2 linked regions of the Saccharomyces cerevisiae S288C genome follow. The protein of the gene in region 1 purifies or fractionates together with the protein of each later gene. This does not show direct contact. Each region holds a gene or a part of one and is shown on either strand. Other genes may lie near its edges.

What was found.
Region 2: the proteins of XBP1 (region 1) and YPL216W purify together in Saccharomyces cerevisiae (affinity purification with mass spectrometry, with the first as the bait; one large-scale study listed by BioGRID). This does not show direct contact.

What each region holds. Positions count from the first base shown.
Region 1 is NC_001141.2:174,502-178,809, forward strand, and holds XBP1 (Xbp1p), read right to left. Parts: upstream 2,750-4,308; coding exon 806-2,749; downstream 1-805. Other genes in the region: YIL102C (uncharacterized protein), read right to left, coding at 81-386; SGA1 (glucan 1,4-alpha-glucosidase), read left to right, coding at 3,503-4,308. UniProt on the Saccharomyces cerevisiae protein: Transcriptional repressor which binds to the consensus sequence 5'-GCCTCGA[G/A]G[C/A]-3'. Represses CLN1 transcription.
Region 2 is NC_001148.4:141,959-147,698, reverse strand, and holds YPL216W (uncharacterized protein), read right to left. Parts: upstream 3,879-5,740; coding exon 570-3,878; downstream 1-569. Other genes in the region: CBP3 (Cbp3p), read right to left, coding at 1-283; GTPase BMS1, read left to right, coding at 4,528-5,740. UniProt on the Saccharomyces cerevisiae protein: May be required for the activity of an ISWI chromatin-remodeling complex.

The sequences.
Region 1 (4,308 bases):
AAAGAGCAGGACTGTGGCAGAATAGTACCATTTTCATCAGCAAATGTGAGGCTATGCCATTATTTGCGAATGCTATGAACCTACTGCGTTGCATTCTCCAAGGTTCCCGCTGGGTGGGTCGCCACTAACTCTTCCGTGTGGCCGTCTATTGCTGATGCATTCAAACCATAGTCACCTGCGATAGGGTTAGTTGTGTAAGAGGTAAAACAGTGACCAGGTGTTAATTCTTCCCAGTTCATCAACAAGCTTGCTGAACCATTGCTCATTATAGTTGTTATACTGCAGGAATATTTCATCTCGATATCTACTTCTTCCAGAAAAGAATTTTTTAAACAATAATAGACCTCGAATCGCTTCAATTTTTTGAACTTTTCCACCTTTAGCATCTAACTTGGTTCTTTAATTACGATAATTCAGGATATGCGCAAGCCACCTACAGATTATAGAAGCAGTCGAGTACGAATCACTGTGACCGTCATCCTAGATAAATAGTATAGCTTGATGAAGAGTACTGAACCAACAAGTACGAGCTTCTATGGCCAAGTTGGTAAGGCGCCACACTAGTAATGTGGAGATCATCGGTTCAAATCCGATTGGAAGCAATTTTTTTCTTCGGCACGTCATACACCTTGTAATGAGTGTACTAATTCTCTCTTCAAAAAGATCATTGTATGTTTTATGTTTTGTCTGGAAAAACATATAGTACGGATATTTTTGAAAAACTTTGAAATAATATGTAAATTATGTAAAAAAATTAAAGAACCATTATAAAAGAATATTACCAAAAATGTAACAGATGACATTTTTATTGTTTTGAGTTTGTTTTAAATTTGAAATTGTTCAGTGAATTGTTCGCCCTTGGCGAAAAAGAGGTGTCCATATTGGTATTTGTATTATGAGCTGGTCGTTGGTTTTGTTGCTTATAAACTTCGCTAGCATATTTCAAAAAATGATAGTGATCATCACCATAAGGTTGAGGGAAAGTGGGAGGAGCAGGCGCGATTGGTGAAGAGGGGACGTTGTAGTGTCTTGGAGACTGGTACTGAGAAGGAACTGGGTGAATGTGGTCGTAAGTATAGTTTAGCTGCCGCTGTGGCGACGAGAGCTGGTTTGGTGGGGGTAAAGAGTATCTTTGCTGTGGTATATAGATATTTCCCGGATATGAATACCGGTGACCGTGGGTGTTGTAGAAGGATGCTAGGTTTGACAAAATTTGCACCGTTGGATCTCTTGGCCCTATTGGAGAAGAAGTTTGAGAGGTGTATGTGGACGACTTTTGCCTTTTGCTGTTTTTTTTAATGAAGTTCTTGTCATTTGAGGAAAGGCCCAAGTTTTCTACAAATGAGTCGAATGAGGGCAAGGCGTCCTCAATAACAAGTTTCTGCGCTTTGGAATGGGACATGGAAGTAGATCTTTGTCTTGGCCTGGGTCTGGGCTTCTGCCTAGGTCTTGCCACTGCAGTAGACGTAAAATTGGTACTTGTATTAGCAGCAGCAGTAGCAGCAGTAGCAGCACCTGCACCAGTGGTAGAACTAGCAAATGTAACGTTTTGATGAGCCAAATACCACGATTCGCAATCTTTGGGGAAATCTGGACCAAAAATAGGCACCAGAAAGTATCTGATCGGAAAACAAAACCGCAGGCATAGCAACCTTGAGATTTCCATCGGCAACCAAGTACCCTGAATTTTGATGTAACCACCTCTTATTCTTTTCGTAAAATTTGCCGGATTTAAGTTGGGCAAGTCTATTTGGTCAGGACCAAGTTCATTGATCAGGAAGTCTTTGTAAGACTGGCAAATAAGGTCCCGCAGTTCGGGCTTGATGTTGTTCCAATGAAAATCGATGTAATTGTTTGCCTGCGTTGAAGAAGTAGATGAAGAAGACGCATTGGCGTCCAAGAAGGTAGACCCTGTGGATGTCCGTCTCTTTGGCGGCGAAGAGGTGGAGGACGACAACAGTACGCTTGAAGATTCCTCAGAAGTGAACGAACTGTGATTGTAAAAGCAAAAAGATAGAATTTTCTCGAATTCAGCCTTGCAAAAGAACTGCTGTTGGCTAGTGGAAACGCTGTCACCTCTGGGCAAGTTTATAAGCCCCTTCATAACATCCTGATACAGCCGCCAGATGCCCGTCATGAACACATAGCCGGAGTCATGCGACCATATTACGCAGTTGTTAGGGTTGATGAGCTTGTCATTGATCAGATTATGGTCCATTTTGGTCAACTTGAACTGCTGATTCTTTGTCAGCGAGGAGGTGGCATTTTCACGCGATGCTGTTGACAGAGCCTTCTTTTCTTGCTTGGTGGGTGATGCTGAGACTGGTGTTTTGTTAGACCGGGAAGGTAGTATGATCTTACCCATCAGAATATTTTTATCGTGCAGATGCAAGGCGGAGTGAGGAGTGGCGGAGCTAGCGAGCTGCGATAGCAACGTTTGTTCGTGGACTAGGCTCTGAATTGTTTGTAGGTTGGGAAACTGGTACTCGAAGCAGTTCAGAACGTTCTGCGCCGCCGCCTCTTCCCCGTTCCCTGCGTCCCGAGCACTGATAATGAAGTTTGGATGTGTGAACTGCGCAGCAATGGAGGATTTATAGTTAACCTTTCTAATATTGAGTCCGGCGCTGAAACTGGCCGGCGGCGAGTCCCTATCCAGTACGCTGACGAGGTAGAGACGCTGATAGTCGTCCAGGGGGTTGTCCGTTAAGTGTACCGTGTCACTGTTAATGCTAAAAGCGGGATATTTCATGTTGGAGAAGGTGTCTATGATAAGGTATTTTGAGCTTGCCGTTGTGTGGGGAGAAGAACTGGATGCGTACCGAGAACGAGCAAGTTAAAACACTAGTACACGAATAATAGATATATATATGTATGTATATATATGTTGAAGTGTGTACACACGTACACGCACAAGCTACAGACGCCACGCGGCCCGGCATTCATATATGTACATACATTTATGCACATATATATATATATATATATGTATATGTAAATGTATATATACAGCTTGTGATTTCGCGCGCCGAATGGGCTGAAAAGCACAGTATAGTGGAGAAGAAGAGAGAGGAGAAGGGGAGAGGGGCAATAGCAATGGATGTGGTAGAATACAGGGAAGGCCAAGCTGTTGTTCAATGGATGCGGTTCGAGGCCCAGCGCAAGGGGGGCGCTTCGAAGCATAGAACATTATCCGCGGAAACGGGTATTAGGGGTGAGGGTGAATAAGGAAAGTCAGGGAAATCGGGCCAGAGTAACACCCATTCATAGCACTCGTACAAGGTGCTTTTAACTTGCCTGCATGTGTGGAGTCACAAATTAGGGGACTCAGGCACAGAAGCAAGGGTCCTTTTTTGGTTCCCTGTTTCCTCCTGCGCATTTCGTATTTTTTCTCATCTCTTGGCTCTGGATCCGTTATCTGTTCTGTTACACAAGAAATCGTACATTTACAATATAGTGATAATCGTGGACTAGAGCAAGATTTCAAATAAGTAACAGCAGCAAAATGGCAAGACAAAAGATGTTTTATAACAAATTACTCGGCATGCTCAGCGTAGGATTCGGGTTTGCTTGGGCGCTCGAGAACATTACTATATACGAATTTGACTTTGGCAAGGGCATTCTCGATCAAAGCTACGGCGGTGTATTTTCAAACAACGGCCCTTCGCAAGTGCAGCTGCGGGATGCAGTCTTGATGAATGGGACAGTGGTATACGATTCAAACGGCGCTTGGGACAGTAGTGCGCTGGAGGAATGGCTCCAGGGACAGAAAAAAGTTTCCATCGAAAAAATATTTGAAAATATTGGGCCCAGCGCCGTGTATCCGTCTATTTCGCCTGGGGTCGTGATTGCGTCACCATCGCAAACGCATCCAGACTACTTCTACCAATGGATAAGGGACAGCGCGTTGACGATAAACAGTATTGTCTCTCATTCTGCGGGCCCGGCAATAGAGACGTTATTGCAGTACCTGAACGTTTCATTCCACTTGCAAAGAAGCAACAACACATTGGGCGCTGGCATTGGTTACACTAACGATACAGTGGCTTTGGGAGACCCTAAGTGGAACGTCGACAACACGGCTTTCACGGAAGATTGGGGTCGTCCTCAAAACGATGGGCCTGCTCTTCGAAGCATTGCCATCTTAAAAATCATCGACTACATCAAGCAATCTGGCACTGATCTGGGGGCCAAGTACCCATTCCAGTCCACCGCAGATATCTTTGATGATATTGTACGTTGGGACCTGAGGTTCATTATTGACCACTGGAATTCTTCCGGATTTGATCTATGGGAGGAAGTCAATGGCAT
Region 2 (5,740 bases), on another chromosome or scaffold:
AGGCTTCTTTCCATTTGGGAAGTTCGTACTTTGACGATTCATATTTACTATGAGCTAGAGGAATTTTATTCTGAGCAGTTTTCACTGGTGCTTTATTGCTTACATCTAGTGGTTTCGAATTCAGATGTGAGCTTTTTGCTAAAAGCTCTGGCGAATCTTGTGCAGTTTCTTTATTTTGCTTGAAAACACATGTTTGATGCAAATAAGCTCTCGAGTAGTAAAAAGGGGACTTTCTAAGGAAAACAGGGAGTCGACCTGAAGTAAATCTATTGACTGACATCATCAAGTGTTGGAATAGCTGAAGAGATTGTTACGGAGATCATAGTGTTTGCTAAATATTAATCTTACTAATGCGTCAGTCGAGGACCAATTTTGACGTTGTTTTCCTTGCTGGCTATAAATTCAGAAGAACGCCGGGTAAAGCCTAAATACAACTCCAGTCAGACGCCCTGAAATGGGCCAATTTATATACGAGGAATAATGAATGGTGAAGATTAAATAGTAAAAGATATTTCTAATATCTTTCTAAGGCGTATACAGGAAGAGTGATTTGAACTGCAGAGTTGTTTCTAGTTGCGTTCTTCATCCTCTCGTCGTCTTGAAATAAGTTGACATTCAATCTCCTCTAATATACCCTGCACATCAAGATGTGCAGCTTTATCTACTCGTTGAGAACTTATCCCATAGCCTGAAACATGACTAATATGCTTATACCTCTGATGATTTAAAAGCTTCGTAAGAATATCCTCTTGCCTTTTTCTTTTCGTTTCAACTATAAATTCGAGGTCTATCGTCCTCAATTGTTCGAAATGAAAATTCAAAGGATAAATCAAATTTTGTTGCTTTTTGAGAAGTGCTCTTTCACATTCTCCAAGGTGAGCTACGTCTTTTAAAATCGCTTCCAAAACGAGATCATTCTTTGTCCTTGATAGTTTTTTGGAAATTTTCTCCATGTTGGAAAAATGTTGGCCGTTGGATGTACAAGTTGTCTCAATTCTTTTCAGTTCAGGAAACGTGAACTCGTTATTTTTCAAAAGTTTGTGATTTTTTTTGAAGGTTTCATCACATTCAATACGCCTTTTAATTTTGAACTGTTGCTTGTATGATACTTCAATACGGTCCATTTTGGATGTCAAAGCTTTCTTCAATTGTCCCTCATTTTCTCTTAAATCATCCAACCTATCTACTAACATATGTATATCTTCTATATCGTTGAAGAAAGCCCATTGATGATGAGAGAGTAGGAGCTTTTCTGGAGTTTCTGATATAATTTTTTTGTCTATGAATGCCGGAATAGTTGGCCTCATTAAGATACCGTTTGAATTAATTATCATGAAATTCTCACCTTGAGCAATTTGATAGTAAGACCCGTCTGTCGACCTAAATATTGAAAAGACTTCTTTTGTCGCGTAGGCAGTACCTTTTGCTTTAGCTAACAACTCCCATTTTTTCAAAGATTCGACGTCGACATCTAAGCAAAAGTTTATATCCGCTTCAGAGGGTCCTTGAACCCACAAAAAACAGCAGTTGTAAAGTTCCTCATTTTTTTCACTGATGGCTGATGACGATCCATTTGAGTCCATCCAATAATATCGATTTCCATTTCTATCTTTACCCAAAATCTCTAGTCTCTTGATATCGCTCTGAATCAATTTTGCCTCTAGGAAGGCGATATCTTCCATTAAGTATGCAATTTTCACTTTAAGGGCATTGACCTTACCTTTACATTCATCTGATCCATATCGGTTCATTGAAACGTTGCTGTGAAGCTTCACGCGATTTTTGGTTAACGTTTTTAGTTGCCGTTTCAATTTGATATACTCTTTTTTTGCACTATCCAACTTTAAGCGGATTCCATTGCACAGTTTTGGTACTTTATCTACCAACTCCTTAATATAACTCGAGAAATTGGACGCAAAATCTACGAGAACCCATAAAACATCAATTTTATCTTTTATAGATAATCTCTTGCGAAAGTTATCCCAGAGCTCATCACCTAAATTTACAAAATTCATGGATAAAGGTAGTATTTTTTTTGTGATACATTTTGCGACATCACTATATGCTATCATATGTGTATTCTGTTGCAAGATTCCAAGGAGACAGATCAACCAATTGCCGTTGCTAAAGTTTTTATTGTGCAAAAGTTTAACCCAGCTAGTATCTCCATAGTTCAAACACTTTTCTATAGCTATATCAATTTCTGTTTTATTTCCTTCCTCCTTTCGCTTTTCTTCAGTCCAATTGTCCATCAGATTACAATTCCAATCAGGTTCATTATCCGTCATCAGACACATTAACGAGCAAACTATATCAATGTAAAGTATATTCACTTTTTCGTACGATTGAAACTCCATATCGTCATTTTTTAGAGGCTTCCCTTTAAAAATGGAATACATTACAAATTCAGTACTTTTATCCGTTATAAATTTCCTCATTTTCTGGTTTCTGGTGAAATTGCTAGGTATTCGTTGACTCTCATCTGCATTAAAGACGTTAGCCTTCTCACGCTGGGATACGTTACTACTGGTCACTTGATTATATATTTCGTTTCTTGGCTTCTCATTTGTGAAACTCCCTTTGCTGTTGTAAGTTTTAAGAAAGTTTATTTTGACATATTCATCTACTAAAGCCTCCGGACTAGTACACTTGATAGTAGTAAGGAACTGATCAAAATTAAAATGTGATAGACCAATAAAACGTCCAAAAAAGCTCAGGAATTGATAAACAACCAATAGTCGTTCCGTTGGAAATTGACTGCACTCTTTGAACCATTTTTGATCGATATTCTTATATTCTAAGGAGCTATCTAAGTAGCTGATATTTTCAAATGGTATCGAAGGCCCAGTGAATGGAAGCTCCTTGTCGTCGACGGTTCCCTTCAAATCATTGTAGGCAAGGGAGTTCACATTATCGTAAATGTGGTCAAATGAGACTGAAATCTCGTCGTCAATTGCTTTTATTTTAGATAGTGACGTTTCCGACGTTTCCGACGTTTCCGACGTTTCCTTCCAGTCAGCAGGTTCAACATCGCTCTCTGGTGGTATAGTAAGAGGAGTGTAAAGCTCGGAAGAAGATGAGTTCATTCTATCCGGCAAATAATCAATCATATTAGGAGAGCATTTAGGGTTTACATCATATCTTTCTATATATTCTTGTTTCACCCTCCATGGTGCGTGCTCCTTATTCGATACTTTTATGAGTATTTCATTAAGAAAACACGCAATTATGAATTTAGAAAAGTGTGATTCTGGCCTTTTAATTTCATTCTGGCCTACAATTAGGGCCGCACCTTTAGATTCTCGATTCAGGCATTCTGTGATTAAATACAGTGACAATTTTGGGGCAGAAATTTCTCCCTTTTCACTTTCCATCATCCCGTTAGATTGAAACACATCCTTGACAAGGAACAACGTGACATTGTTTTCAATAGTTGGTGATTCTACCAAGTTAGGCTCTCCTTCTTTATAGGTAATCAATGCATTTTTTTGGATAGTTTTCAAGCACACCGTATCGCCTATAAAGAAACGGTTACTAAAACGCTGAAATGCGCTTTCTACAAGGTGTCCTACCTTCCTTATCGGACTGAAGTTTGCGAAATTTGCTATAGCCTTCCTTAGTTCTTTTGGTAAAAGATATCTGACCTTTTCACGGTGCTGTTCTTCGCTTTTTAACGCCTTGAAATACGAAAGGCCATCTTTTCCACTAATCTCACAGGTGAATATATCCCTTTTGTAAAAATCTAGCTTTTTTAAATCACTGTCATAATCATTTATACGCTCGCTACTTTCTTTAATCACCCATGGAGTTTCAGAGAAGGAATCAGCAGACTGTCCTATTTCCTTAGGTTGTATTTTCCTTCTGTTAAGCAGAACCATTTTTGCTTTGAATTTAAAGTACGGCTAGAAGAAGAGCCAAACTAGGGATTGCGATTTTTACTGAATGAAAATGATTGTCTCTCTTACTAAGTCTGCTAACATTTATCAGGTTCATAATGTTTACTATTGAAGTGGCGCGTTACAAGAAAACAAGTCATCCCATATTGAAATGACAACAAATAGAAAAATACACATAATTCCATATCGCTAAATCACACTATCATATACAAAATGGACCAAAGTAAACAAATGTCGATTCATGCAAGTATTGTTACATATCTTGTCACTTTCTCTTCCAAAAGTTGAGGATAGCTGTAAAGGTGCATTTGCTAAACTCTCAGAAACTGCTGGTCCTAAACAATATCAAAACAAATATCAGATAGGTAAGCTTAGATTATTTTAAGGACATGTGAGCCATAGTGCAGATACTCGTACTACTGTTGTAAATATTTCTGTAATTTCAAAGTTGAGATTATCTAGATGAAGTTTTTTTTTTGTTATCGCCTAAGTTTAATGTCCGTACAAATGAAAAATTTTCAAGGCGATGAGCTGAAGTGAAGCTTCAAAATTAAGGAAAGTATTTGCGCTGTTAAGGTAAAAATATCACATAATAGTAGCCTTTAATCAGCCATCTGAGTTATCTGAAACGATGGAGCAGTCTAATAAACAGCACCGTAAGGCGAAGGAGAAGAATACAGCAAAAAAGAAGCTCCATACGCAGGGTCATAATGCAAAGGCCTTTGCCGTGGCAGCCCCAGGTAAGATGGCGAGAACTATGCAAAGGTCAAGTGATGTGAACGAAAGAAAACTGCATGTTCCTATGGTTGATCGTACCCCTGAAGATGATCCGCCTCCATTTATCGTCGCTGTCGTGGGTCCACCTGGAACAGGAAAGACTACTTTGATTCGGTCCCTCGTCAGGAGAATGACAAAAAGCACTTTGAATGATATTCAAGGTCCTATTACTGTTGTCTCTGGTAAACATAGAAGACTAACTTTTTTGGAGTGCCCTGCGGACGATCTGAATGCGATGATTGATATTGCTAAGATTGCCGACTTGGTTCTTTTACTAATTGACGGTAATTTCGGTTTTGAAATGGAAACAATGGAATTCTTAAATATTGCTCAACATCACGGTATGCCAAGAGTACTTGGTGTAGCTACACATCTTGATCTGTTTAAATCTCAGTCAACTTTGAGAGCTTCTAAGAAAAGATTAAAGCACAGATTCTGGACGGAAGTTTATCAAGGTGCAAAATTATTTTACCTATCTGGTGTGATTAATGGAAGGTATCCTGATAGAGAGATTTTAAACCTTTCACGATTTATATCTGTTATGAAATTCAGACCATTAAAATGGAGGAACGAACATCCCTATATGTTGGCTGACAGATTCACAGATTTAACTCATCCGGAATTAATAGAGACTCAAGGACTGCAAATCGACCGCAAAGTCGCTATCTATGGTTATTTGCACGGTACTCCTTTGCCTTCTGCTCCGGGCACTAGGGTGCATATTGCTGGTGTTGGTGATTTCTCAGTAGCACAAATTGAAAAATTACCAGATCCATGTCCCACACCTTTTTACCAACAGAAACTGGATGATTTTGAACGTGAAAAAATGAAAGAAGAGGCAAAGGCTAACGGAGAAATTACAACTGCCTCTACGACAAGAAGACGTAAAAGGTTAGATGATAAAGATAAATTGATATATGCTCCAATGTCCGATGTCGGAGGTGTGTTGATGGATAAGGATGCTGTTTATATTGATATTGGAAAGAAAAATGAAGAGCCAAGTTTTGTTCCCGGCCAAGAAAGAGGTGAAGGAGAAAAACTCATGACGGGTTTACAAAGTGTTGAAC